2 linked regions of the Coturnix japonica genome follow. The protein of the gene in region 2 interacts with the protein of the main gene of each other region in a biochemical or structural test. Links are inferred from orthologs where the notes say so. Each region holds a gene or a part of one and is shown on either strand. Other genes may lie near its edges.

Region 1 (2,992 bases), on a different chromosome or scaffold from region 2:
AGAACTCAGCTGCTCCAAATATCATGGATTACAAGTAACCTCATACGCCTTGTTTTTTGCAGTACCTTTCTTTCCCATTCCCTCTCAAAACTACAGCAGAATCTCAAGAAGCCAGGGTTCTGCTTGCTGCTTTTCCTAGATTGCTGTCTGCGAGCCTTATGCAACTGTACAAATGCCTCCATCTCACAAAGTAGAAGCTGCGTTCTCTGCAGTAGAAGGCTGAATAAAAACGCACAGTGAAGTTGCTGTTGTAATAATCTTTAGCTGTAGTGCCGTGGAAGTGAAGTGTGAGAAGTACATGTTATGGTCAGCAGAAATATAGTTTAGTTTTGTTGTTTTTTAAACCGAAGAAAGAGTGATTTTACTGTACTTACTTGTAAAATACCCTTTTTTTTGAGCATAAAGTACTATAAGGCCACACAGTGCCATTAGCAGAGCCACAATTACTACAGCAGCGACGATACCACTTACATTAAGGTCATCTGTAATTATAAAAGATAAATACAATGTTTTAAGTTTTAAAAATATCCATTAGATGGAATTCTTTTCCCCTAATTCCTACAGGTACCTTTTCAAAACAATAACAAAGCCATCAATAAGCAGAAACATTTTGATTGATCTTTCTGTTACCTAATCTTTGTTATATTATCATTATGTAGAAGGCCGATTACTTATTTGGATCCTGAGTACAAGACATTAATACACTGATGTAAATTTTACCCAAAGGTTTTTGCTGTTGACATCTCAAAGTCCTGTGAGGCTATTAGTTAAAGAAGAAAGAAAAAAATAAAACCATAAAGCTACACAGATAAACTAACAGCGGGCTGGTACATTATGCTGTACAACACCCACAAAAGCATTCTGAAGCATGAAGCTTCTCAGATGGACACTGTGGTTCTGTGACATTCACTGCTGAACAACATTAAGGGCTGGATACTGCAATCATTTTAAAGTACCCAACTAACTGCTTTTCTGTAAAATACAGTGCGACACATACACACACACAAGGAAAAGAAATAAGGAATGCTTTAAGCAGCCACCCTCACTACATATAAGGTTCCCTAATATATGAATATTATTCCTCCCCCATAATACTGTAATCAAATAAAAGGCTGTAATTCAATCTTAGTTTCTCAACTGTATCGCACAATGAAATCAGTTCAGATGCAAGACCGTTTTCTGTCCCTTTTTATTCTGACACATACCCACTTGCATTCGCTTCATGGAGCATTTCTGAGGCAATCCAATCCCATTTGAGGCTACACAGAAATACTCTCCAGTGTCGTTCTTTGAAACAGCGTTAAATGTCTGTTAAGACAAGAGACCAAAGCTGTTACCAGAATGGGAAAACAAAAACAAAAACCCAATTTCCTGCAGTATAGAAATTTTGACATATCTTTTTTCCAAAAAATCTGAAATAAAATGAGAACTTCTGCTCTCATGTTCATCTCGATCCTGCTCCCTACTCATACGCTTAGATCTTAACTTCAACTACTTGTACACGAGGGTCTTCTAGATAGGCATTTTTACTAAATGGAGTGTACAAAATGTAGTACAAAAGATACATCCCAAGGATTTTTTTCCCCCCACAGAAATGTTACTTTCTCCATTATTCTAATGGAGAAACGCTTAGCTGCATTATTTATGAAATACTTCTAATGTAATAAGTACAGCGAGAAAACAGAAAATGGATGCTGACCTCATAACACTTTTTGTGTTTCTCTGTAATTATTTTTATAATCAGATTTGTTAAATGTTCTCCGTTTAATGTATCCTATACACCAAAACTATGACTTTTAAGAAGAGATTAATGTTTCTAAGTAGCTCACGGTGTGCTGAAATATCTATGGCACCCGTGAATGTAAAGGCACAAATGATGTGACACAATTTGGTTTCCAAATGTGAGCAGAGTGTCCCTAAAATTGACTCTTCTAAAAAGAAATAAATAAGATCTCAGCTTAGCAGTATGTGATCAAGTACAGGGCTGGAACCTTTAAATGCCACTGCAGAGATTCTGGACTGCTGCATTTTCCACTGAAGTGTGTTAAGTTGCTGTTTTCGATTTTAAGGCACTATCAAATACAACTTGGTTGACATACTGTGAGATCGTTCCCACCTGGAGCTGGCTGGAGAACCAACTAGGTGAAATTTGTCATTTATTTGCTAGATTCTTCTCATTTATAACTACTACAGCCTTATAAATCACCCACTTTGCCTACCACACTCGACCTCTATGATTTGTCATTGGTCTGAGGCAGAAACCGTACCCTATAAATTTGTTATCACATTTCAGTGTGACATTGATTTCTGAGAGAGGCCTTGTGCCTTGGATTAAAGCCACAGTGCGTTTCTGTGCTGTACAGAAATTTGGTTTTCTCTATGGCTGCTTGTTACAGTTGGTTACTGTGCTTACCAGAGTGCCAGACTTTTTATTCATGGTGTAAGTTATGTCGGCTGTTCTAGCAGTGCCCGTTCCTGTCTTTTCCAGTAAGGCAACACCATTCTTGTACCACTGGTACTCAGATGGAGGAGACCCCTCAGCTTCCTTGCAGCTCAGCTCCACTACTGTTCCTGTCATTGCAGAGGTGGGTACCACACATACTGGAGTAGTGGGAGGAACTGGAAAACAAAATCGTACTTGTTACACAGTCTTATCAGTATTGTCTACCCCACAACTGTTTGACAGTCACTGAGGAGGTGAACACTTGTGTACGTGCTCAACAGCTACCACATTAATAAATAGGGGCTCTGGAGACATGGTGGATGGCAGAGTTCTGCTACTGAGGAGCACTTTAAGGTCTGTAAGCTGACAAAAACAGTGAAGGCAGAGGTTTGCTCCTAGGGTCCCTCACCATGTGCACCATACTCATTTTTCTATCCTTTCCCCAAGTGGGAAAAAAAGAAGCAAGGAAAAAACCCATAAAGCATAATAGAAAAACATCTCTCCTATAAATAAAGTCCACAGATTGCTACCTGGCATTATGCAGGCACT
Region 2 (3,655 bases):
CTCTTCCTGCTTTCATTACACCTCATCTTTCTCTCCAGGCACAAGTCCTATGCAAAAGCTAGCCAAGAGTATTCTGAACCTTTTAAGAATATGATTCAAAGTTCAGTGAATTCTTTTTTCTGATAGATCTCTCCCAGTTTTAACTATGACATCGAATTGTGCAACTGTCAGCTGATTTTCACTAAAACTGTGTATCCAAAAACAGAGCCTAGAAGTGTAGTGCTGTGGTACTGCTGGATTAACTGGGGCTTTGCCATAGATTTTTATAAACAAATTCACAAAATCCCACCAAACCAAGTGATATTTCTCAGAAATATTTAGTTATGGAAGTGTTAGCATTTTGATGCAAGCCTTTAAAAGTCAGTTTAAACTAAGCATATTCCTTGAAGCTAGAAGTCGTAGTACTTTACCAGAAGGTCACTCTAAACACGATAGGATTCATTACCAGAATATGCTCTCTGTTTATCAGTTGCTATTAGAAATGAAATTTTCTGCTCTAAAGAAAAACTTATTAAGTTTGTTTGATACTGTAAGATTTGTATCTCTGCTGTTTTTTTGAGATGCGTTTAAAGCCCTGAGCTTACTTTTATCATTCAGATTGTTGAAATAATAGCGATGGGTGTTGGTATCTTTTCACTGATTTGAAAAGCCAGACCTTGCTAACGTTGTCGGTTTCATTGACTGTAACTTGACATACTCATTCACTTCTGAGACCAACAAATCTGCTGAGAATTCCATGCAGATTATTGAGAGATGATGTGAATAATGTTAAGTGTGTCCCCAAAGACTTTCACGATGGATATGCATAATCAAGCATGCAGTTCTCTACACTAATTCTAATTACTTTTTTTTTCTTCCCTAAATCACTAAGGTTCCCCGACCAGAGATGTAGGGCCTTCATTAGGTCTGAAGAAATCCAGCTCATTAGAAAGTCTGCAGACAGCCGTTGCTGAGGTGACTCTCAATGGTGATATTCCTTTCCACCGCCCCCGCCCACGAATTATCCGAGGACGAGGCTGCAATGAAAGCTTCAGAGCTGCCATAGACAAATCTTATGATAAACCTGTAGCAGATGATGATGACGAAGGCATGGAAACTTGTAAGTAGGCTATTGTTGTACATAATGAATGTTAGCAGTATCAGTCAATTCCTTTAGAAGGTAATTAGAAGTGATAGAAGATAATTTTAAGATTTTAAAAGAATAGAACTAGTATCTCTTCCTGGATTTGTTTCAGGCTTTTGCCCTTCATATGCATTAAGCAGATTGCAACACTCTGCAGCTTCCTTCCTTCCTAAAATAAGGAAATAAGATTATTAGGAGTGTGTTTACTTAAATTATTATGAAAATTTTCTGTAAGGCAGCTAATTAATTTACTGATGTAAATTAGAAAAAAAAAATTGCACAGAAACTAAAAAAACCCCACTGAATTAATGTTACAAAAATATGTGCATCTAACTTTGAAAGGGTACATTTGTAGTGTCTGGGGAAAAAAAAGAAATCACTGTCCTTTAATTAGAATGAGTAAGGCTGGCAGATCTAATAAAATATAAAGTTAATGATCAGCTATTACCCACCCTAATGGGCATTCATTTACATTTTCAGTTCTTTAACCCGAAGTATGACCCAACATGTGGAGAATGTCATTAACATAAAAGAATCACTTCAAAGCTAACCTTATCATTATTGAACTGTGTAAGAATGGGCCGGGAAAATGACAACTTATATTGAATAAAAATAGTGTGAATGGTAAATTATCTCAATCAGAGGTTGTATTAAAATTATGGAATTTTTAACCTTCATGTTGTATTAGTTTCAACTTGTCACACACACCCGCAGAATTTTTTTTAATCGACCTGTAGCTAGTTAAAAGTTTATGAATGGAGAAGACGCTTGGAAAGCTGAAATGGTAAAATATTTAGCTTGAATACTTGCAGAAAAGCCTTGAAAAAAACTTTCCACTCTCTGCTAGTTTTAAAATGTTAGTTTCTGAAGTGCCAATCCGTAATATTCCATTGCAAGCTTACTCCTTTTATATTTTTGAACGCGCTTTGGTTGTTTTTCTTTTAATCTGTTACTAAAAGTGTTCTGAGACTGAAAGGGCGGTCATTCTGCCAGTCACTTTTCTCAAATATAGTTACAGGCAGAATTAATTCTGCTTCGCTTTTACCATACCTAGCAATTTCATGAAGCAATGAGGCTAAAAGCTGGTCTGGTGCTGCTGGCTGTCATTCTGTTTTTGACCAGCAAGAGAACAGGAATGAGAAGAAGTGTAATGGTCCTGGTCATCCTCCCAGACTGTGTGTGTATGGTCTTCTGGAATGTATGGTCCCATTTTCCTAAAAACCCTTATATGGTGTGAGCCAACTGATGGAGATAACTTGTTTTGAGGTATGAGATATACAGGGCTTACCCAGAAGTTACAGATGATTTAACTTTGTTTCACAAAAATTACAGCAAAACTGTTTTGAAAAAGTGTATTCTATGTGAATATAGGCTCACATAAGATGTTTTGAGTTTATTGATGCAACACATAGAAAGCAGAAAGAAAATATTTGGTAGTCTTTGTATTCTTTGCCTGGAAGTTATGGAAACCAGAAAAAAATTCAGTCTATAAGTGAAATGCTGTGTGGTGAGTCTTCATCCTCATCTTTGTATGGATGAAGTCTAGCACTGATGGACCAGGAGCCATCTCACTGTCATAGGAGATCAAGAGCAAGATTGTTTTTAAATCTTACCTGCTAAGGTAGGCCTTCAGGAAGTATGACCAAGATATATCCATGGAACTGCAGGTTCTGTTGAAGCTGTGGGGCCAAATAGCTTCCATGTATTACAGTAAAGCATCTACAAAGTAATACCGAAAGTTACACTGCAAGTCACTGCAATTGTAATAGAAAGAGATGCGTAGTAAAGCAGCTGTAGTAAGTTCATTGAACAGAATTCAGTTCAGTGAACATTGTTGAAGACCCTTTTGGTCTTCCCCTTCTTATGGTGGCCAAGAGAGCTTAATAGCTAATCCAGACATATGGGGCATGGGATCAGCTCAGAATGCTAAATCCTGAGGTCTGTCTTTCTAGAAACATGTGTGTATCTGTAAAACAAAACAAAACAAAACAAAACAAAACAAAACAAAAAACAACTGCAGTCTTCCCAACTTCGTGTAAATTTTTTGTAAATTCCAGAGAATTTGCCAAGTGATGTCTGCAGCTGGAAAAAGTCTGTGTGCCTTTGAATACGTGGAAGTTTATTTAACAATCTGGTACTGGCCTAATGGCTCGCTGCTGCCATAATGACATGGCATAATTCTCTTTTAATTGTATTTAATTATTTCATAATTGTTTGAAATTAAAATGTGGCTTTCTTGTATTATAAAATTCAAGCAAACAAGTTGGTGGTCAATTTGCTGATACCCTTGAGGTTGGAATCATTTGTCTTTCTTGATATGTTTTCCCTTTCTTCTCCAAATGTTTCTGTGCTGAGAGTGCTTTTCTTTTCCAGACTCTGCGCTGCAATATATTTTATAGAGGAATTCGTAACATGTCATTACCCCAAATAAGAAAGCCATAAAACATAGGTAGTATGTGTGGCAGAGGGGCCGGCTCTTCTAAATTAACTTACTGTCTTTGCAAAGAAAAAAGTTATTAAATGGCTAGGAAA

What was found.
Region 1: the proteins of PARD3 (region 2) and JAM2 form a complex in vitro, tested with the Homo sapiens proteins (2 studies listed by BioGRID and IntAct, with this or other methods). The link is inferred for Coturnix japonica from reciprocal best matches to the Homo sapiens genes PARD3 and JAM2.

The regions. Positions count from the first base shown.
Region 1 is NC_029516.1:92,177,772-92,180,763, reverse strand, and holds part of JAM2 (junctional adhesion molecule B), read right to left. Parts: intron 2,620-2,992; coding exon 2,414-2,619; intron 1,309-2,413; coding exon 1,206-1,308; intron 483-1,205; coding exon 375-482; intron 1-374. UniProt on the Homo sapiens protein: Junctional adhesion protein that mediates heterotypic cell-cell interactions with its cognate receptor JAM3 to regulate different cellular processes. Plays a role in homing and mobilization of hematopoietic stem and progenitor cells within the bone marrow.
Region 2 is NC_029517.1:12,118,014-12,121,668, forward strand, and holds part of PARD3 (partitioning defective 3 homolog), read left to right. Parts: intron 1-871; coding exon 872-1,099; intron 1,100-3,655. UniProt on the Homo sapiens protein: Adapter protein involved in asymmetrical cell division and cell polarization processes. Seems to play a central role in the formation of epithelial tight junctions. Targets the phosphatase PTEN to cell junctions.